3 linked regions of the Drosophila melanogaster genome follow. The protein of the gene in region 3 interacts with the protein of the main gene of each other region in a pairwise test. Each region holds a gene or a part of one and is shown on either strand. Other genes may lie near its edges.

What was found.
Region 1: the proteins of ND-15 (region 3) and CG14478 interact in a two-hybrid assay, tested with the Drosophila melanogaster proteins (one large-scale study listed by BioGRID).
Region 2: the proteins of ND-15 (region 3) and CG6195 interact in a two-hybrid assay, tested with the Drosophila melanogaster proteins (one large-scale study listed by BioGRID).

The regions. Positions count from the first base shown.
Region 1 is NT_033778.4:17,454,340-17,462,560, reverse strand, and holds the start of CG14478 (uncharacterized protein), read right to left. Parts: upstream 4,899-8,221; 5' UTR 4,689-4,898; intron 3,746-4,688; exon of another isoform or gene 3,482-3,745; intron 1,964-3,481; exon of another isoform or gene 1,895-1,963; intron 568-1,894; 5' UTR 1-567. Other genes in the region: robl (roadblock), read right to left, coding at 5,566-5,777, 5,846-5,924, 5,988-5,990; robls54B (roadblock similar 54B), read left to right, coding at 6,400-6,423, 6,483-6,797; CG10764 (uncharacterized protein), read right to left, coding at 6,937-7,313, 7,372-7,508, 7,604-7,652, 7,729-8,221.
Region 2 is NT_033777.3:19,644,929-19,652,112, forward strand, and holds CG6195 (uncharacterized protein), read right to left. Parts: upstream 3,483-7,184; 5' UTR 3,365-3,482; coding exon 3,301-3,364; intron 3,204-3,300; coding exon 3,003-3,203; intron 2,950-3,002; coding exon 2,285-2,949; intron 2,204-2,284; coding exon 2,042-2,203; 3' UTR 2,002-2,041; downstream 1-2,001. Other genes in the region: Nup58 (nucleoporin 58kD), read left to right, coding at 237-1,160, 1,222-1,938; CG31220 (uncharacterized protein), read left to right, coding at 3,913-3,982, 4,520-5,129, 5,193-5,604; CG31219 (uncharacterized protein), read left to right, coding at 6,102-6,171, 6,334-6,901, 7,014-7,184.
Region 3 is NT_033779.5:112,019-120,037, reverse strand, and holds the start of ND-15 (NADH dehydrogenase (ubiquinone) 15 kDa subunit), read right to left. Parts: upstream 5,313-8,019; 5' UTR 5,047-5,312; intron 4,674-5,046; exon of another isoform or gene 4,326-4,673; coding exon of another isoform or gene 3,921-4,325; exon of another isoform or gene 3,550-3,920; intron 3,069-3,549; exon of another isoform or gene 2,708-3,068; coding exon of another isoform or gene 2,279-2,707; intron 2,219-2,278; coding exon of another isoform or gene 1,962-2,218; intron 1,903-1,961; coding exon of another isoform or gene 1,734-1,902; intron 1,678-1,733; coding exon of another isoform or gene 1,164-1,677; intron 1,108-1,163; coding exon of another isoform or gene 962-1,107; intron 905-961; coding exon of another isoform or gene 803-904; exon of another isoform or gene 769-802; coding exon of another isoform or gene 663-768; exon of another isoform or gene 612-662; coding exon of another isoform or gene 484-611; intron 211-483; coding exon of another isoform or gene 6-210; exon of another isoform or gene 1-5. Other genes in the region: CG4822 (uncharacterized protein), read left to right, coding at 6-210, 484-607, 663-750, 803-904, 962-1,107, 1,164-1,677, 1,734-1,902, 1,962-2,218 and 1 more; CG13694 (uncharacterized protein), read left to right, coding at 3,921-4,325; Sam-S (S-adenosylmethionine synthetase), read right to left, coding at 6,496-6,604, 6,669-7,348.

The sequences.
Region 1 (8,221 bases), on a different chromosome or scaffold from region 3:
CTGCGGGTATCTGAATTTTTTTTTGTTTGTTTCAACTTTTTTGGGGGCTACGTACAAACGATCACGCTCACGCACTTTCGGCTGTCTCGATTTCCAAATTCGTTGCGCGTTCGACTTGGCAACCTGTTCCTCTCTTATTCTCCGTTTCTGTGCGCTGCGCTGAGCTGAGCTGCTCCCTTCTCTCTCCCTCTCTCTGGCTTATCAAAGGGCTGACCGATCGACTCGGCTTGGCTCTCCGACTTCTTCTGATTGCAAAACTCTCGGCGGTCGTAAAAAGATGTCGGTTTACTTTCCCACCGTCGTGCACGTACAGTATGAATGTGTGTGTGTATGTTGCTGGGCAGGAGTGTTTGTTTGTTTGTGTGTGTGTGTGTGTGTGTGTGTGTGTGTGTGTGCGATGCGAGTGGAGCACTTCCAGTATGTTATCCTCTTTTGTTGAAGTGGTTTTTCTTGTCGCTGGTGGTGCTCTGGTGCAGTTGCTCCGCTGGCGTGCAAATGTTTCCTTGTTTCTTTATTCTTTCGCTGCTTTGGCTCTTAGGTATTCCGCAGTTGTCGACGTCGATTTACCTGGAATAAAATAAAAAGCAGGTATGTGAAAAAGAGTCTTGTTTCACACTTTGCATTGTATGCATGTAAGTATGTAGATATGTGACTGTGTTTGTGCCAGTTGTATATATCTTTCAAGCGATATATACAATGCACTCATGTATTCAATATTTTCTTCGCCTGGTGAAATCAACAACCAGCACACACACAGTATATTTTGGAACAGATGTTCGTTGAGCTCGGATTTCAGGTCCCTTTTTCTTTTACCCCTAACCGCCTTTAGTACAAACTAAAAAAAAAAAAAGAAACCAAAATGGGAGCACACACACATGTGCAGTTTTGTTTTCGGCATTTTTTGGAAATCTTCTGCTTCTGCTTCAGCTTCAGAATTTGCAATTTTCGGTTTTTGCCAGCAGGTCTTTTCCGGTACCTATATAGAACATTCTTTTGTGTGCTCCTTTTCGAGCGAAAACAAGTGGTTGAAGGGTCAAAAGTGCAGCGGCTGAAAAGGAGAAGCGAGATAAAGATGCCGAAAACAGAGAGCAGGTGTTGCAAATCCTGCAGAGAGAATTGTTTAGCGATTGGCAATCCAAAAATAGGTTTCCCACTGGTATTGGTGTTAGTTATTTTGCTGTGTACCCTCGCAGAGTATACTAGATTTTACATCATTAATGAAGGAAATTCGGAATCCTTTCTTCTCTCTTCATACTCACGAGTATCAAGAGTCTTGATGTAAATGTTACAATTTTTTTTTTTAGGTATTTTAACATATTTAGAAAAGACAACAGTGTCAGGGTATTAAGAATTCGGTTCGACGCTATTTATGTTTTGGTTTTGTTCGAACCAGCAGAGCGATAAGGCTGCGACTTCACATCCCATACTATATTATTAGCTTTATGGTATAACTTGGGGTACTTGTATGTATTTGCCGTGTTATCATCTGACTCTGGCTATGACGATTCCTATGCCGACACGCGCACGCAGCACATGCCCCATTCATAATCCCCGCACACTCCCGGCACTGTCCAGAAATCCCACCATGTAACACACCTATATCTAATCGCGCATATAAATTTCACTCCCAGGGAATAGATTTTTCCCTACTCCGAGCAAACAGCGACTTTAATACGCATGTTTTCCACTGTTTCCCTTCGCCTGTAGTCTGTAATGAAATTAAAACTAAATTCTGTTCGCCACGGGGATGAAAATCGAGTTTTCGATTCGCCTAAGGGAAGAAAGCTGCTGCCTGCATACATATACATATATCTATATCTGTTGTGTCTGTGTGTGTGTGTGTGTGTCTGTATGTGTGCGGGGTGGCTGTGTCAACCGAAGGACTACTGTGTACTTTTGTGTAGCTGCTGCAGCAAACTCGGTCGCTTTCCGATCGAAACTGCTGCAGCTGTGTGCCTCGAAACTGCTGACTGCTGACTAGCTGGGGCAAAAGTTTCACCGGGGCCTGGTCAGCGGGTCGAAAGTTCAACGGGAGGAGACCTTCGACGCGCTGCTGTCAGAACGAACAGCTTTTGCCAAGATGCTGGGGGATGGCCTACCAATAAGCAGCCAATATGGCAGGAATCCGCCCAAGAAATGGTTGCTTAACTTAGCCTTTAAAATCGATCCTACAGTACTGCATTGTCACACCCAAAACGCGAATTCTTCAGTAAGAAACAGCTGATGAGAAAATGGGCAGCTGATTTCAAGAACTTGCCTGCAGTACATTTATCTGCATAGGAAGAAGTGAAAACGTGCCAAAGTGTTCAGTTTATAGACGAGAATTACAATCGAGACCGTCAATAAATAAGCTTGACGATTTTTTCACCTATCAACATTATTTTAATCTTTACATAGTATATATTACAACCGTATGTGTGCGTCAAACGTAGCAGCCATTTGAAACTTAAGACCAAACCAATCAGATTGTTTGATCAACTGTTTTGCCAAGTTTTCTAATTATCATTATGTGGATACGACTTTCTACGATTTGCGTAGAACAGCTGCAGGCTTTGATCGTTTGCACAGCATTTTCCACTCATTTTCCAAGCTGATTGCGCACTCGGCATTCTTTTGCGCAATTAGAGGGAAGTTGTGAGTTTAAAAGCTGTAGAGATAGATAATAAGCGCCGGGCTGATTGATAGTTCTGTGCTGCTGCTGCTCTGCGAATTCCCAACGCACATGATAAGATACGGCACATTGTTCATACAACAACGAATGGTTCGAGAACCTTTGTTTAGTGTTGTGTGAACTTTGGCCTTGTGTTCGGCCAAAAAATCCGAAGAAAAAAAAAAAATCCGAAGAAAAAAAAAATGGGAAACAAAACGAAAAAAAAACTGGTTGTACTTGGTGGGGAAACTATAGATTCAAGCTCGAAACGATGCTGGTCGCCAGTGTTTCAAAGCCCTTGGAATGCTGGCAGGCCTAAAAGTATCTGTTTTTTTTTTTTTTGTACAATCTAATCATACGCCCTTGATAAGTCTCTGAACTCGGTACGAGATCTTTTAAGTCGGCTGACTAATGAAATTTTAAGGAATTGAGTCATGTTCAGGCAACTGTTTATATGCACTCAGAGAAAATCACATCAAATTAATGATTATATCAATTGGGAGTGGATAACACGAAACGTGGTAAAATACAAAATCGACAGTTGAAAATCTTCGAAACAATAAAAATTCTGTTCCTAACTTGGATTGAACCTGTTGGAAATTACAGGGCCTCCAAAGCGGGAAAACATTGAAAAGCCTAGCCCTTTATATAGTTATCTACTTTGTTCTACAGGGTTTATATCGGAATTTTATGCACAATGACAGTATTAATATGAAAAAACAAGCACAGCAAAGTTCAACAACTTCTACCAATATAAGATTTTCAATAGCTTTGCTTTGACATATTTTTTATAAAGAGCGTAGTATGCAATAAGAATGTATAGTATTCAACCGTATATAGCACTTAATCATAAAACTAATAGTAATAAGCAATATTTTTCTTCAGTGCACTGGTTCATGTTTGGGACGCAGTTTCGCTGTTAAGGTGATTCACTCGGTATATTTTCCGTAATTCGTAATGATTTTCACTTGGCACTTTTGAGTCCTGTTCGACGAGGTCGTTTTCGTGGGTGATCACTGTGTTTATGAACGCAAGTGCGGAGCCATGCGTTGCGGGGGGCTACGACCGTCTCCCTTACACCCGTTTGATGACTGCAGTCGCCCGTTTCCCGTTACGTTGCATTCAAGGAGTCACGCACGCACACACACACACACACACACATTCATAAACGCACGCGAAAAGAGAGCGAACGAGAGATGCATGTGGGAGAGGATGCAGATGATGCAGGGGAATAGACGGGCATATGGACATGTGTAAAATATCCAAAAATATAAAACGAACCCAGCGACCGACGACCGAAACGTCCGACGTAATAAAATCCCTTACGCGCTGCAGGCAGCGACGCTGACAGCGCAGCCACATGCTTCTTTCTATATTGAGCCAGCCAGCCCTTATGTGTTCAACTCTCCGTTATGTACAACAACAACCAGTCCCATATATAAACACACGTACGTACATACAGACCCTGCTCTGTGTCCGCACGTCTGTTTGTTTGTACGGTACGTGCGTGCGTGTCTGTGTGCGCGTCGTGTTTTTGTGATGCCATCGTCGATATTGAAAGTACATGTGTACATACATAAGTACGTATGTATGTACGGCAGGCTATGTACCAACGTACGTTGAACGAGAATCGCGTTGGAAATGAAATGAAATTGCGAACAACGAAACGGTGCGATGACGATCCGATACGAAGTGCTTCATTTTATTTAGTTAATTCTTAGCACATATGTATAGACAGATATATATGCACCGACGACTATATACACTCGACTTTGCCCGTGTGTGTGTGTGTATCGTTTTCATTTTCACGGAACAAATATGGCTGCAGCACATTTTTTTTACGTTTTTTATTCACTTTTTTCACGTTCATATAGCTCGTTTTTTCACCCAAAGTAATGCTGACTGGCCGATTGAGGGTTCGTGGATTTGGATTCCGTTTGCGTTGCGTTTGCTGGCTGCCTTTTGGGTTTCGAAGTGCGTGATTACGCCATTTTCTTTACTCGTTCGCTTTTCGCTGCACGCCCATCTTTCGAATTACCTTTTTTCAATACGATTTGATCGATCGGTGGATCTCTTAACTCGCTGCACACGCGTACACTGGGTCGAAACGGTGGCTGATTGGGCTCTCCAATCAATTTATTGACTATTCCGTTGAGGGGTTTTCTTTAAATGCAAGTACGCAAAACTCACGGGTTTTCACCGACACACGAATCCGTCTTCCTCGACTTTGCATCAGTGTGACCGTGGCGTGCAACGACGATGGCCAAACATCGATAGTCTGGGACTTTGCTACTATCGAAGTTATTTTATACATATTCGATACCTTCTGTCCCTGCATATGGTTTTTAAAGGATATAATTACCACACCGTTGTAATTATTGTAATCTTTCCAATTATGTACAAGCCGTGGTAGTCTTTAATTGCCAACATAACATAAATGTTCACCTAATAGCAACGGAAACAATTTCAAAGGTAACAAGAGAATACATATCTCTCGCTTCGAAAGTATTCGATAAATACGTCGGTGAAGCGGATGCTTAAACCAACTACCCAAACATCAAACAACTTCAATAATTATAATAATATTATAATAATTAATTGTTCGTGTTAGAATTAGCGTTAAAATAAATTTATCTTTTGGAGTCATTTGTTTCAATTAGAGAACGCATATTTCAGTTTTTGAAAATAAAGAATGAATGCCCCTATCAATAGTTATAGCGGACTAACAGCTGAAAACACCTGAAGTTTACAGAGCCCAAAATGTTTACGTGATGTCATTTTATGCATAAATATATTTATTGTATGGAGTACAATTTCATTACATTATAATTTAACTTTCCATTTATACGCTGATGATTAGAATACAGATATAAATGTGCAGATAATTCAGCAATAGTCGCGATGCACCATGCCATTTAGTCGGTTGGGTTTTGGATGACAATCAGGATGAAGTCCTTGTCGGGTGCCACCATGATCTCGTGCTTCTTGGATCGCACCCGCAGGAATGTCATGTCGTTGGAAGGATCCAAGTCCCTCACCACACTTCGTGCCTTGTCCGCCAGCTGACTCATTAGGCCAGCGTACTGAACGGTGGTAGTGTTGTCCAGCGTGGATTTGACCGGAATACCTATTTGGGAGGCGTTGAGAATTAGTTAGATATCTTAGCACACACTGGGGTGCAGTTGAACCACCCACCTTCATTGTTGACCACAATTGTACCCACAACACCTTTGTGGCTCTGGATTCTCTTGAGTGTTTCCTCAACCTCCTGCGACTGTAAGCCATGAAGGTAACGTTATTTTCTTAATGTTTTTGTGTATGCACAACTCTTACTTACCATTTTTTCTTATAATTTTGTTGGAAACACGGCAGACACTACCGCTACCTGCAGTTCAATGAAATAGTAAACTTTGTTTGTTCAATATTAGAGATGCACTGTCAGTGATGGCACATTGTTCATTGTTAATTTAACAGATTTCCACATAAGTTAACAGAAAATATCGATATGAAGTTTTCAATGAGAAAAAAATTTGCAACGGTAATTATCAAAATATTTGTGATTGAATAATTTAATAAGTTTATTATTTACTAACAATACATTAATAACAACTACACAGAATTGTTTAATCTGGCATATTGACCCATATAGCAACACGCACCTTGGAAACCAAGAAAACAAAAAAAATTAGGTTAAAAATTCACGAAACCGTTACTACGAAGTTCAAGGTGTTTCAAAGCAGACGAGAAATATGTTTCCGGATCTTCCACAAAAGGTAAAATATTTCCATATTGAATGTAATTATATTTATTTATAGGTTACATCATTAAATAGCCACCTCGAACTCTACGATATGTGGAAAAAGCATTCGACCTGGTCAAATCGAAAAAACATGTTCGAGATGTAGTGATCCTCAACGAGTCGGGACATCCGGTGATGAGTACGATGGACCGAGAGGATGCTGTCCAATTTTCGGGACCTTTTCAGGCTATTCGAGGAAGACTGGAACGCGGTATGAGTAAAATAGATCCCACGGACGAACTACTAATGCTGAGAATACGCACAAGAACCAACGAGGTGCTCCTGGTGCCAGACTCCAAGATAACACTACTCGTAGTACAGAACGCGCATGATTACTTCGAAAAATGATTAAATATTTTAGATTTCTCAAAGACAATTTCTTATTCGTTAGCGTATGTTACTTTATTATTAAAACATGTACCAATCACTCGTATGTCAGTAATTGGTATTTACACGTGCTTTTACATTTTTAAGGCATTTAAATATTTTAAGATGACGTATTTAACGAATATAGCAAGGAAAGAATCCAATCCGTGTGCCTCATAACATTCGTAAAAACGAGTATGTTTTTCGATGAAAAACTGAAAATGCCCACCAAAATGTAGCGTATCTGGCCATTGGCATTCATCCCTCCAACCACTATGTAGCTACGTTTCTGGCGGGGATTACTTGTGTCGGATGGATCTACCATGCACACTTGATTTTCGTTGATTTGAAATCCGAGATGTTTCGCGCATTGGCTCCCTTCCATTAGCCTGACGTCGAATTGTTCAGCTAAATCTGTATCAATTATTTTCAATTCTCGAGCCTTTTCGGCGTTTTGCTGGTATATTTGCGTTGTCAAAATGCAGATGGGTTTCATTGCTGTAAAAGAATATAACTGTAAATCGAGGCAATTGCTATGATAGTAGGTATGTTCTACCTGTGCTGCTTATTGATCGAACAAGTTTGAGTACTGCTATGTCATTTCGGTAATCATTCGTAGTAAAATTTGGGTGCTTTGAAACCGATTCAATTTGGTTGATTGCGCTTATTCCTTCGAGCACTACGAACACGTATCTGAATAATTAATTTAAAATGGTATCAAAATAAACTAGTAACTAATGTGAAAAATAGCAGTTAATGCACAAGGGATAATCCTTCGAACAACTTACAAATAGGCGGCAACTGTGGGCAGGTCTGTGGCAGCAGCGATGATCAATTCTAAGAAAAGAAACTCAATCTTGTTAAATTTATACTCATTTAATTGTGGAATTCTCGAGTGAAAGAGTATACTTACGATCTGTTATTAATACGCCAACGGCATAAGAACCAGGCCAATAAATTCTTAGCTGCGCGATCGGTGCCGCGATATCCTGACTGCAGCTATTGTACAACATCGAAGGAAGTGGTGGTGAAGCCGCAGGAGTCCAGTGCCGATTAGCGTCAGGAGCAATGGGATTGCCCATGGCAATGTCTCCCCCGGACACGCCGATTGGTAGGTAGTCATTTCTAGCTATTGTCGATGAGATCCAATCCACATAGCTGGTCACGTCGGTATAGACTCCTACTCCACGGCATTCTGGATCCCCAAAGCTTACGATTCCTAACTGCACCTCATAACTTTTATTGGAAGGAAACAATATATTCGTGGACAAGGGACCCCCAGAATCGCCTCTACAGGTGTCTCCATTTTTGGTTCCAGCGCAAATCTGTCTTGAATTGAGATTAAAGTTCAATTTGCGTTTGCACTCATTTCTTTTCAAGTGTAGAAGATAGATGGTTTGCAACAT
Region 2 (7,184 bases), on a different chromosome or scaffold from region 3:
TTATATATCTTTAGCCATAGTGTATTTATTTCAATCAATTTGAATACTTTGTTGATATTTTTCCGAATAAATCTCTGCTGACTAGCTATCGATATCACCGATAGTGTCATCTCTGTCCTAGAAGTTAAACCACAGATGCTCAGGCATTAAACAAAATTAATTTCGAAATTTGTTGCAGTAAATATAGTTTAATTGTTTAAAATTCCTGTATAAATCCTTAAGAGGGGTGCCTAAAGATGTTTACGCCCACCACGAACAACGCCATTGGAGGCGCCACTGCTGCTACCGGCGCTTTTGCTTTTGGCGCGCGACCGGCGACGACGACTGCTCCGCCTCCATCCTTTGGAGCAGCCACCTCTACGCCAACCTTCGGTGCTGCTCCGGCCACCACCTCCTTGTTTGCAGCTCCCGCGGCCACACCGGCCTTTGGGGCACCAGCTGCTACGCCGGCTTTTGGAGCACCTGCGTCCACGCCTGGTTTTGGCGCCACTTCCACTGCGGCGCCGGCTTTTGGAACGGCTGCTGCCACGCCCGCTTTTGGCATACCAGCAGCAACGTCGGCTTTTGGAGCTCCAGCTGCTACGCCCGCTTTTGGAGCTGCAGCTGCCACTCCCGCTTTCGGAGCACCCGCCGCCACGCCCGCTTTTGGAGCACCCGCCGCTACATCCGCCTTTGGAGCACCAGCAGCCACAACGGCGTTTGGAGCGCCAGCTTCCACGCAAGCATCGGCCTTCGGAGCACCTGCACCAGCCGTGGGCACTGTGGCTCCCACTTTCTCCTTTGCCACCCCGGCCACAAGTGCGCCGACCACCGCGCCGCCGGCCTTTGGATTCGGCACCACCGCCACAACGGCGGCAGCTGCGATGCCAGCATCCCTCAGCTCCGGAATTGGATCGTTTTCCTTCCCCAAGCCACAGGCCACCACGGCGGCCAGCTTGAACTTTAACACAACCACGACGACGGCGACGGCACAACCCTTCAACACGGGTCTGAAACTGGGAACCACCAATGCGACGACAACCCTAGGAGGAGGAGGAATCTTTAGCAAGCCAGCGGGTCAGGCAGCTGCCCCGGCAGCATCGACTTTCGTGGGTCTGGGGGGGATCGATGTGACCGCCACGCAACCAAAGCTGGGGGACAATAAGCAAGATGGCATCAAGGTGCTGACCATGAGTCTTTCACAGAGAAACAAAATAATCATTTTATTTTCGACCACTCCAGATTAAGGAAACCCAAGTGCCCGACGAGATAATAAAAACGGTGGATGGCCTAAAAGCGTATATCAAACAGCAGAAGACCATCTCCTCTGACATTGGACGGACATCCACCTCCAAATTCACGAATGTCAGCCACGAGATCACGAACTTGAAATGGGCGCTGCAGAATATGGCCACTTTAGTTGAGGGCAGCAATCAGCAGATCCGCCTGATGCGCCAAGAGACCGTCAAGGCGATTCAATCTCTGGAGATGGCCCAACGCACGCAGGACACCCCAGCCGGCCTGCAGTTCGAGAACAATGCTCCGTTCCAGTACTTTCAGTGCCTGGTGGCGAAGTACGAGCAGGATTTGATCGCCTTTCGCCAGCAGATCGCTCTGACCGAGCGCCACATGCACGCGATCTCGAATCCGCAGAGTATTTCGCCGGATGATCTAAAGCGTGGCTTTCGCCAACTTAATGAGAGTTTCATCTCGCTGGCGGGACGCCTCCACGAGGTGCATCAGCGGGTGGAGGAGCACAAGGAGCACTACCTAAACCTCAGACGCTACCGCCTGCGAGACACCACCAACGTTTTCGAGCGGATTGACAATCCTCCGCTGCCGACGGTGGAACCTCAACGGATTAGTAGCGGTCCAACGCCCTTCTCCAACATCTCGGCTCTGATGAACAAGTCCTATGCAGCGGCGGCCAGTTCCGCCAGCAATGCGACAGGCAATTGAGAATGGCACTCTTTACAAGTTTCAATAAATCGTTATGTCGAAAGGGGCCTAGACTTTCACTTTCAGTTATAGCATAGAATATATATTTCACACGCAACAATCTTTATTTCTTCACCACCTGGATGACGTCCTCGTCGGCCATCACATGGGCAATCCCCACGCGCTGCGGCGAGTATTTCGTGGAGGTGCCCCACACCAGGGCATACTTGAACTGCGCCGCCAGCGTGCGATGGATGGCATGGCACACATGCTCCACACTGACGCCCTAAACAAGGAATATATAAGGAATTAGAGTTGCTTTACCAGGCTGAAGAAGGAATTGGATGAATGGAAAACAGTCTCTTGCCTTTCTCAGAATCAATCCATCGTCAAAGTCTGGAGGAGCGCCTGGCTTCTTTGTGTACACTCTGATGAGCTGGAGAGCTTCCCAGAGCGCCTCCATCATGTAGTCCAGATTAAGTTTCATGTTGCAACTAACCACTATCGAGTTTGGCTGGCGCGCCAAGCGGTCCACCTCCTCGATGGAGATCTGATCGATCTTGTTGTAGACATACAGACAGGGCAGATACACACGGTTGGCGGTGACCACGTCGATGAACTCGTCCTCGGTGCAGTCTTCGCGGAAGAGCACCTCGGCGTTGAAGATCTTGAAGGAGTGCAGGATGGTCTGGACCATTTTCTCGTTGCAGCGCGTAAGGGAACAGGTGGCGTTGAAGCTCAGGCCGCCGCCCTTCTTCTGCTTGAAGTAGATGTTGGGCTTGCGCTTGTTCAGACGAATGCCCACGCTCTCCAGCTCTCGCTCGAGCAGCTCCCGGTGAACGTTGGGCTTGGTGGCGTCCAGCATCATCAGCACCAAATCAGCGGTGCGGGCTACGGCAATGACCTGACGACCACGCCCCTTGCCCTGGGCAGCGCCCTCGATGATTCCGGGCAGATCCAGCAACTGGATATTGGCACCCTGATACTCAATGACACCCGGAATGCAGGTCAAAGTGGTGAACTCATAGTTTGCTGTCGAAATGAAACAGTGAGACGCTTTTGGGCGGTGTGTGGCATGCACTTACCCGCCTCCGATTCCGTTTTGGTCAAAGTGGACAACATTGTGGACTTCCCCACGGAGGGAAAGCCAATGAGGGCCACCCGGGCGTCGCCGCTCTTGAGCACATCAAATCCGTCGCCCTTTTCGCCCTTCTTGGATGGCTCCAGCAGCTGGGAGCGATACTTGGCCAACTTGGCCTTCAGCAGGCCCAGATGGTATTCGGTGGCTATGGGAGGGGGATGAAAAACATGCAGATTTAGCAAACTTCCAGCTACAGAATCCTAACCTAAATTCCGATGGCCAGCGCGGCACTATTCGCAAACCTTTGTTCTTCTGCGTCCGCGCGATCTCTCGCTCGATCTCCGCGATCTTCTCTAGGATGCCCATGCTGTTGGCTCTCTTAGTTCGGGGCAGAGCATGCAAAAGTTCAAATTAAACAAATGTTCGCTTTTATTTATTGACCAGCGGTGCGTCGCCCGGAATTTCGATCAGCTGTTTTTGGCAGTCAAGGTAGTGGGGCGGCTGTGGAACAACTGCAACGCCGTGAAGTTATCTTAACAGTGCTTCTCCTATTATTTTAGTTAAAGCAGTTTGTTGTCTAAAGCTAAAAAAATCATAAATTAAGGAATATATTTAACCAAAAATCTTTGCCAGCGGAGTTATTTTATCAAGCTTAACGTGTAGTCTATAGGATTATCTATGGTATTTCGTAAATAAATATCTCGCTGTTTTATTTCCGATATTCCGATTTATAAGCCACGTAAAGTAAGCCGTTAAGCTTATCAGGTGTTGAAATTACTGCACTCGCATGACAATACTAACAATCGATTACCTCGACTTTCAGATTCCCGTTACTCACACTCGCAGGCAGCAAAGCGAACGTTTTCTAAAGTGCACACAGGCTCCACCTAGCGAAGCTTGACAGCCGACAACTGATGTGTGCACGCAAGCGGACGGAGGGCAATCTTTGCCGTCGCCATAAAAGTGGCTGCAGTGCAAACCAATGTATGGCCGTTACGCATCTCGTTGTTCTAGTGTCTTTCATAAAACCCATATAATATTGTAGATCCACTTTATATTTGGTTTATCGGCTTGGAATACGTAATTGAATTTAAATGATATCGCCATTAAATCATTTCAATAACGTCATAAGTCAGACATTAATAAATATCGCATAAATTTCCTCATAAAGTCAAAACTCTCGACTATCTCTACATTTTTGTAATTGACTCACGCGCAATTGCTACAGTTACTGAATGCACTTAAAAGCAGTTGCTTTTTAAAAACAGTTGCTTTTTGAAAACAGTTCCTTGTTGAAAACAGTTGCTTTTCAAAGTCTGAGAAACAATGTTCCTCGTACAGGAAACTGGTTCTTTAATGGTGATCCTCATTTGTTGTCTGATGGCTCATTTAGCTTATGCTTGTAGATCGGGTAAGAACATTAAAGAGCTTGGAAATTGTGTTATAAGTTGACTAGTGAGTTGTGAAGGAAGATTAAAACAATTTATGAACACACTATGAACACTCTCTACTTTTCAATAGATAAACTGTGTGAACCGGATGAGGAGTGCATCCGACTTAAGGATTGCCGACCCATATATTACAATGTGAGGAGAAACAGATTGTCGGGGTCCGCAAAAGTGAATATATCGCAGACAAGAATGTGTGGCGTGAGTGTTCGAGACCGGAAACGTTACAAAAGGATTTATATCTGCTGTCCCAAGCCGGCAAACACCTTGCCAAGCTATCCGGATTGTGGGAAGCCACAAACGACTAACCGTGTTATAGGCGGCACGGAGCCGAATCTCAACGAATATCCGTGGCTGGCCATGCTTCTATATCGAAATCGTAGTGCCTTCAACCCGGATCGGGAGCTAGTCCCCAGTTGTGGTGGCTCCCTGATTAACACTCGCTATGTCCTGACCGCAGCCCACTGTGTAACCGATACGGTCTTGCAAATCCAACGCGTCCGCCTGGGCGAGCACACAACGTCCCATAACCCGGACTGCATCAGCCGGGGCGCACGAATCGTTTGCGCTCCCACACATCTGGACATCGACGTGGAGTCGATCACATCGCATAATGACTACGATCCAGCCAATTACACCTTTCGGAACGACATCGCCCTGGTGCGACTCAAAGAGCCAGTGCGGTGAGTCAGCACGTCGCAAACGACCTATTACTATCTACTAACATGTTTGTCTGTATCCATCAGATATACGATGGCTTACTATCCGATTTGCGTTCTGGACTACCCAAGGTCACTGATGAAATTCAAGATGTACGTGGCTGGATGGGGAAAAACGGGCATGTTCGACACTGGGAGCAAGGTGCTGAAACACGCTGCCGTCAAGGTAAGGAAACCAGAAGAGTGCTCGGAAAAGTACGCACACCGGCATTTCGGGCCCAGATTCCAGATATGCGCCGGCGGCTTGGATAACCGGGGCACCTGCGACGGCGACTCCGGCAGTCCATTGATGGGCACATCGGGTCGCAGCTACGAGACAATCACGTTCCTGGCCGGCATCACTTCATACGGAGGTCCTTGCGGCACGATTGGCTGGCCGAGTGTTTTCACACGAACGGCGAAGTTTTACAAATGGATACGGGCACACTTAAGGCCCTAGAAACTGTTGAACATACTAATATAATGTTGACCAAATATATATACACCAAAATATAAGATGAAAATTGCATTTTCCCTATAGTAGATACAACTGATATTCCAATTGAAAGATAGTAATGCATGCAGAAGCTATGGAGTTTACTGGTCCAATAGGATAGGATTTCTTATTTAAGTCTAGTTCGCTGGAGATTTATAAGAAGATCTGAGAAAGTAGCCCAGCGCACAGATTGAGTAATGCTGAATATGAATAAAAATGCAATTAGTACGATTGATAACCAATATGCATCTGGAAAGTTTCAGTCGAATTGATTTTTAAATACTTTCGTAGAATCTAACATCTGAACAAGCTGCATACATATACACTCTCGTATGTGTGACGTAATTTTCGGGAATTCCATTCGGATACGTTATCAAATAACTTTGGCAACATTCGAAATGCCATAACCACAAAAAGTTGAGGGGATAAGTTAGTTACAATTGAAATCTTTACGGCTCAACATGTTCATTTCATGCATTCCGTTCGCACTCGTAGTAGTATTCATTCAATTGGCCCATTCAACGAATTCTGGTAATTAGCGTGCGGAATAAAATTGAATACGACTGTGAATAGTATAACTGTTTGGTGTGAATCATAATCAGGAATTTATTTATTGTTTTTAAATATATTACAATAATAATATAAAAAAAAGGTTATCAAAGCGTTCAATCTATGATTAATCTGCGATTCTAGACTGCTATCCGGGTGAGAAGTACGTTTACCTGTATGAGTGCCCCCATGTATATACCGCTGGCAGGTCCAGGACTTTGATGAGGGAGTATGACATGGATGCCTGGTTGTTGTTCGGCCAGAGGATCTGCTGCCCTCCGCCTGGCAATAGGCTCCCAAGCACAGAGATTTGCGGCCAAAGTCTATCTACATACCGAATGGTGGGTGGTTCGGAGGCGCGTCCAAACGGATACCCCTGGATGGCCATGCTCCTGTACCTGAATACAACCACCTTGGAGATCTTACCCTTTTGCGCGGGCTCCTTGATCAACAACCGCTATGTCCTGACCTCAGCCCACTGTGTAAATGGAATTCCACGTGACTTGTCGCTGAAAAGCGTTCGTCTTGGCGAGCATGACATCACCTATGATCCAGCCTACAATCCGGACTGCAGGGACCAGGATAACCAATGTGCCCTTCCAAATCTGGAGATCAAATTGGAGAAGATCATAGTGCATGGGCTATTCAGTAGCATTAGCAATAGGAACATCGAATACGATATCGCCCTCTTACGACTCAAAATGCCAGTGCGGTGAGTAATGCTTTCACAGAAAATATCCGTTGATTTCCGTTGCCGAAAAGTTCTTGCAAATTCGTTCAGATTCATAATGCTCATAGATATTTTTTTGGTGTTTCTTTTCCAGCTATAGGACAGGAATCATGCCAATATGTATTCCAAAGCACGGCTTTTTCGCGAAATCCAAACTTGAAATAGCCGGATGGGGCAAAACAAATGAGGGCCAATTTAGCCAAGTACTGATGCACGGATTCATCCGGGAAAGGTCAATCGCAGTGTGCGCATTAAGGTTTCCGTA
Region 3 (8,019 bases):
TTAAAATGGAAACTGCCAGCAGCGTAAAAGGCAGTACAACCTCCCAAATCAGCTCCCTTCAATATAGCAGCGACATTAACGCCGATAGCCTCGAGCCCGATCAATCTGAGGACTTTCAAACAGTCCTCGGCCTCAAGTATTTGCCATCCTGGCCAGCGGTAAATTTGCAGTTTTCGGAACTATGTTATGTGGTTCCCGACCAGACCAATGGTGAGTGTATCAAATCAGCTTATGTCTATTACGGTTGAGTAATTGATAATGAATATATTCGTGATTGATAATGGGGTATTAAGAATGGTAATTGCACATTTTCGAAGTAATTACTGCTTCCACAGCTCGCTTGATTTCTAATGCTGAACATGCACATATTAAATAGCAATTTCCGTCTAATTCCACATTAACGACAATAAATTAATGCCGACATCTTCCCTTACAATGAAACATTAAAATTATTCTTTTTAATATGGTCATCACACCCCACAGCTTCAAAAACAAAGACGATTTTGCGGAGAGTCAATGGAATGTTTCACTCTCACGAACTTACTGCGATTATAGGGCCTTCAGGCGCTGGTAAAACCACACTGCTAAACCTGCTGGCGGGCTTTGGGTAAGATATAACACAAACGACCCCCTTATAATACTCCTTTAATATTTACCGATAGCGCCGTGTGCGAATCCGGCGAGATTTTGGTAAACAACAGTCCGCGAGATATGCGAGTCTTTCGCAAAATGTCTCGATATATAATGCAGGTAAAAGTGGATTACTGAATTGCGTTCCCATAAATATTGGTGTAATTCATAGACTGATGTCCTGGACTCACAGTTTACCGTACTAGAAATGATGATTTTGGCGGCAAACTTGAAGTTGGGAAAAGAACTAAATTTAAAACAAAAGCTAGAAGTGGTAAGATTGATTTTAAATCATGCACTTTGTCGTGTATTTATCTTAACATTTGAGCAGATTGACGAAATTTTGGGAATGTTGCGCCTAAAAGACACCCTAAACACCATGGCTCAAAAGCTATCTGGGGGTGAGCGAAAGCGTTTATGCATTGCCCTTGAGCTGGTCAACAACCCACCTGTCATCTTTCTAGATGAACCTACAACGTGAGTATAAGATAAATATTGAAGTCGAAGAACTAATGTTACCACCAACTCAACAGTGGTTTAGACGATTTATCGAGTTCACAATGCATTGCCCTACTCAAAGTTTTGGCCGCCGGGGGGCGCACTGTGATCTGCTCCATCCATACGCCATCTGCCAAGATCTTCGAGATGCTCGATGCAGTCTACGTTCTAGCCGAAGGCCAGTGCGTCTACCAAGGAAAGGGGTCCAACATTGTACCTTTCTTGAAGAACTTTGGGCTTTGTTGTCCAATAACCTACAACCCGGCTGACTTCATTATCGAAGTTGCTTGCCTTGAGTATGGCGGGTCCTATCACGAGCCAATGGTAGAAGCCGTGGGCAACGGCAAAGTTGCGCGATGGAGTCCTCCAGCAGTGGAAGGTGAAACAACAACAACCAAAACCGACACCACATCGGGGGCATCGTCGTTTTACGAAAGGGATCAGTTTGACGAAGAGATTAGCCCAAAACTTTTGGAGGCCAAATGTAGCTGGTGGCTACAGTACAAGCTATTGCTTGTGCGTATGCTAATCCAAATGTGGAGAGATAAGGTGAGTGCACTTAGAAAACGACGTAGAAAGGCAATGTAATTTTATTTTTTCCGTAGTCGTACATCAAGCTTAAGTTCTACATGAACATCGTTCTTGCTTTACTGGTGGGTTCGCTCTACTTTGGTATGGGAACCTCGGCCTCTAAAGCGCTTTTTAACTTCGGTTTCATGTTCACCATTGTGATAGCATACCTCTACCTTCCTATGATGCCTGTGCTCTTATATTGTAAGTACTATATTTTAACCTCAAGCAGTAATTCTTAATAATAAATACCTACATTTAAGTTCCCACGGAAATCAATCTGTTAAAAAGGGAGTACAACAACCAGTGGTACCGTCTGAGCTCCTACTACGCAGCAATGGTTACCTCAAAGCTACCATCTATGTTTATTTTGGCCGTTATTTATCTATCCATTGTGTACTTAATGTCCAGCCAACCACTTGAATGGTTCCGCTTTGCCATGCTATTTACAATAGCTTTCGTAACGGCCCTAACTTCCGACAGTTTTGGCTTGTTGATCTCCAGTAGACTGAGCTTAGTGGTAAGCGATTTGGCGCACATTTATTTTTAATATATCCTGATTAGTTCACTTATACTTTAGAATGCAATGTTCATGGGGCCAGTTCTCGCCGTGCCGCTGATCCTGCTTTCCATTTACGGCATTGGGTATGGCGGAGGAACATACATATCCCCTCTTATGAGGTTTCTCATGCATCTTAGCTACCTTCGCCATAGTATGGAAGGCCTAGTCGCATCCTTGTACGACTACGGACGCGCCGACACAATTTGCGAAGACACGGAAATCTTTTGCTCATTTAAAAAGTCGAAAGTTTTGTTAGCCTTTTTAGGATTCGAAAACATGCACTATTTGTGGTCTCTATCTTGCTTGATGAGTTTTTATTTGCTGTTCACCGTAGCAGCATACTTTATGATTAGACTGCGACTGAAACACTCCGAGGTCAGCCCCATTTTTGCATATGTCATACAGCTGTTAACGAAATATTTTAACTTTACTTCGTACAATTACTAACATTAACAACATGGGCGGTTTGACCTCGGTGCTAGAAAAATTATTTTAAGCGGTATTTCAGGGGACAGTCTTAACCTCCCATATTATTTATGGGCTTCAATAATATTAATAAACTATCAAAGTGATATTGGATTCTGAATAAAAGTTTATGATCAAGAATACAAATATAATCAAGGGAACAATAAATTACTATAATTCGATCATATTGTTAACAAGGCAGAAGAAACACTACGAATAAATTATTAAGTACGCATAAAATTGTTTTCACCAAATATGTAAAAAATATTAGTGGGTTTACTTTTTTATGCGATGGCGTAAGTTTATATGTATATCATGGAAATATTAAATATAAACAAGAGAGAATACTATAGTCGAGTTCCCCGAATATCAGATACCCCTTACTCAGCTAGTGTAAATGCGGACGCGAAATTTCATAATTTTTCTGGGTGTGGCTGTTTTGGGCGGTTTTAGGGAGTTGCAAAAAGTTTTTTAGAAAATCGATCTATCGATTTTTACAAGACTAATCAAAAATGAAAAAATTTCAACACATTTTTTAAAATTGTGTAAAATTTTTGAGTGGGCGTGGTAACAAAGGTCAACAAATATCTGTCTCTAGAATCTGTGTGCTGAATCTCAACGTTCTAGCTTTTATAGTTCCTCGACGTTCAAACGGACATGTCTAGATCGACTCGGTTATTGATCCTGATCAAGAATATGTATACTTTATACAGTCGGAAACGTTTCCTTCTGCCTCTTACATACTTTTCAACGAATGTAGCACACCCTTTTACTCTACGAGTCACGGGTATAAAAATATATAGATGTAGATATGCTTCAAATTGCATAAGAGTTAGAATCAAGTCTTGCCCAAGATTAGAATTTAGGATTGAGTTAAAGATCTGCGCCGTTCGTTACCAAACTCTATCTGCCTTTAGACTAATTTTAAGTCAGAACGGCAAAGTATGACTTCGCCTGTTCCCTTGATTCACTTTAAAGTATTCAAATTATTTGGTAGCTCTATCAATTGTGATATGAGCCGTCACAATAAAAACCGACAAAGTTAATTATGGAAATTATTTGAACAACTGCCGTCGCTGTGGATTGGCGCACAGTTGTCTATTTAAGAGGCAAGGAAACTGGACTGCCGTGAATACAGTTGATCGATAGGAGCCAAAGCAGTATGTTTTACGCATTCATAGCACTTGTTTTGGCCATGCTCCACCTGTCATTCGCAGTACAGGTGCAAACGGAGCACACCATTGTGGAGGAATGGAGCTGGCAAGACCATCACAGCAACAGAGACTTGGGAAGCTATAACTACTACACAGCTCTAGATTATGATCAAAATTTCGACGGTGATGAGAATTCAAACGATAATGAATATGAAGAGGATGATGGCAGGGCTACTGCCGCCGGCTTGGACCGGGATGAGGATCCGTGCGAGCGCAGCTGTCCCCGGTACTACCGGCCTGTCTGCATTCTCCGCAATGGCCGCAATATGACATTTGCCACGCTCTGCGAGTTCCACAATCAAGTACGTTGTGCCAACGATCTAAGAAGACAAGGTCATGGCTATGTGGTCCCCATCTTTCAATACCAACATGATGGTGGCTGCTAAACAAAATGATTCATTTAGAGTGGTTTTGCTCAATCAAAGAGTCACATTCATGACCAAAAAACTCGAAATAGCATTTCAAAACATAAAGCTCAAAATTCTTCATTCCCTCCCTGGATAATGAAGATTCGAAAAGCGATGAGGACACAAATATGGATGAATTTGAATGGGATGATTCTCCTACCAGCTTGGACCAGTGTGACAGTAAAGGCTCTCTTATAGGACATCAGCTTGACAACAGATATAACAACTATCAAGGAAAATTGTATTACCTACATAAATAAGATTGTACGGCTCCAAATGTAATTCAAACAAAATAAAATGTGTCCGAGATACAATTCCTTTTAACGTATGTATGTTCGTTTTCATGTTTACATGTCATTATTGTACATATGTATACAGTTCTAATGTTATTATAACTGTATACTGAAACTGTACTTGCGCGACTTAAAACCTACATGTGTATGTCATTTATGTACATACATATACAGTTTGTATGTTATCTTAACTGTATCCTGAATCTGACGGTAACCAAAACGCATGCTTAAAAATGATATGAAGATCGTAACCTTTTGCAATCAAAATTTTAAACACCAATTTTTGCGACTTTGATTGGTACATATGTACATATGTACGTATATAAATATGTAGCTCGCAAGCTCACATTCACACAAACATATGCATATAAATATATTTAAAGAAACAAACAATTTCAATCATTTACCTTTTAACGAATGCAGCATTCCGCGCTGTTGGTACAGCTTATAGGGCGTCATACTAAATGCAATCATGGGAATTAATTTAAACAACGGAATCTTTACCAGCCTCTCTTGCCTGCGATCGCGTACAAATCTTCGACATGCAGATCAATTGCGTTGGTTAAATAGCGCACAGGAGTGACCTGTTGTTTTTGCAAGACCGCTGAGAATAACACTTGGGACACTAATAAAACTACTTCTACTATTAATTTCACTACACTAAGTCCGGCAGCTGGGAACTCCGTCAGATTTGTGAATTTACATTGCTTAGCTCTGCGCAAAAACCAATACGCAAACCGTTAAAGAATTAATCACAATGGCTGCGCGAATAACTGTTGATTGTGACATATCGATATATCGATTGCATTCCCTGGATCTTGGCGTCTGGATAAGACTGTTAAATTCAAATTTTGAATTACTAAAATCTTTACACATTTCTATAAATTACCGAATTTCAGAAAAATAAATATTAATATTGTTGCAAATATCCCATATAGTAGGCGAAACAATACAATAACTAAAAATAAACTGTCATGAAATTTATTGCAATATTCATATGAAAAATGATTTCTTTTAAAGAAAATTGGGTTTCTTGTACACAAATATTTGTAATTTTTTATGGGCGCTGTCTCATTATGTTTTTGTGAAAAACCAGGGTTATGATGACTTTATTTGGTTGTAAAGACATTGCAAATTCTGTTGTTTGTACGATTAAAGTCTTCATTCTGCGCATACCGGTAAAATTATACTTTTCATATTTATCTTTAATATATTTTTGTAAAGGAAAATACATTATCTTATGGTTGGTTACAGAAAATACAAAGACAGAGTGTAATGTACATACAATCGAGTTGTTTAAAACTTTAGGTTTAACATATACAACGCATACAACAAATAGAAATGTTAAAAGAGACAAAAATAAGTTTACAATGGGGACATGAGAATGTTGCATAATTTCTAGGCAACGGATTTAATTGTTTTATACAATTTCCATAGACACCAACATAATTAAGTTGCATGATAATTGAAGGAGGTACTAACTACTGCTTTAATTTTTACTGAACTGACCGACACTATACTATGTATATGCATAACTAAAGCTCATCAATTCTTTTGGAGCTCTCTATTAGGTATATATGCGGGTATTAAGACGACTAAAACTAGTTCCGTGTGAGAAGACTACACACATCAGAATGGTTTAAATTATATAGCGAAGAGCACAGCATAAGTTAGAGAAGAAAGCCCATAAGAGTTGGCAAGCCTATGCCGCCTTCTCCTCTGACTTTAGGCTTTAAAAACGACACTAAAAATTACGTTGGTGCTTGGGTATCTGTTAATTTTGACGCTGATGAATATAAGGATAGCTTCGACCTTTTAGCATATGGTGACTGCGGTTGCAACGCTTCAGCGTCTAGTCAGTTGTCAATCTCCAGAGGCTTGGCCTCCTCCCACGAGAAGCCCGCGCGACCGAAGTGTCCATAAGTGCTTGTTCGCTGGTATATCGGCTGGCGCAGGTTTAGGTCCCTTAAAACAAAAATATAGACAATTGTTATGAAATATTTTTTAGCATCTAGAGTTTGACACTTACTTGACAATCTTGCCGGGCCTGAGGTCAAAGTTTCGACGGATGATATCCAGAAGTTCTTTTTGTGACTTGTGAGAAGTTCCGTAGTCGAACACAGTTATGGAGAGAGGCTCAGCAAGACCTATGGCGTAGGACACTTGGACAAGGCAGCGCTTGCAGAGACCGGCCTTAACCAGTGATTTGGCCACCCAGCGTGCTGCATATGCAGCTGATCTGTCAACCTTGGTGAAGTCCTTGCCAGAGAATGCACCGCCGCCGTGGGCGCCCCAGCCTCCGTAAGTATCTACAATGATTTTTCTTCCTGTAAGCCCAGCGTCACCCATTGGTCCACCGATTACAAAAAGCCCACAAGGATTGATGTGGACAATGGTGTTGGCATCAATGTATTTGGCGGGAATGACTACTTTAACAACTTTCTCCATTACTTCCGAGCGCAGGGTTTCTAACGATATCTTTTCAGAATGCTGCATGGACACTACAATAGTGTGGACACGCTTGGGAACTGCTGATCCCTGATTGAAGAGGTACTCGCAGGTTACTTGTGTTTTGGAATCGGGGCGAGCCCACCAGAACACATCTGAGCGACGCAGCTCAGCAATCTTTTCGTTTAGTTTGTGAGCCAAAACGACGGTTAGGGGCATACATTCCTCGGTTTCGTCGGTGGCATATCCAAACATGATACCCTGCAAAAAGTTTATTTCGCTTCATTAATAATCTCTATCACTAATTAATTAATCATTAATTATTCACTTAAAAGTAACCAAAACCAAAAAGAATCAGTAGCGTTAGATAAATAAAACACATTTGGGTTAGGAAAGGGTAAATCAAGCATGGGTGATAGATTCGGGTATGAATTAATTGTTGCTACTTAGGAGTCAAAAAGTTGTTTACAAAATTATGTTAGTGATGTATATATATGCAGTAGTGTGCCTTAGTTTTGTGTCTGCTATTCTAATTATGGTATCGACTGAAAAGTCAAAAGTTAAATGATATGGATTTGGCAGCTTCAATTAACAAAAAAGACGATCATATGGTTGGTAGGTCGGTTGGAGCAATATTGCAGCGCTATTATGATATAGTGGCAAACAGATGAATTTAAAATTAAATAGCAATAAAGTCGTCATACACTACTTCAATTAGTTACGAAAATATATAAAGGAAACGATAAACAGAAATTATAGAAGTGGCGACAACACCCCTTCCAAAGAGCTTATAAACGCCCTACCACCATGAATATTTTAGTCGCAACTAAATTGCTATCAATAAAAATTAAAAAGATGCGTTGCTCTTCGGAAAGGGCCTTCGATCCCGGCCTGCCGAGACTGCTACTTCTTTACTGCTTCTAAATCACACC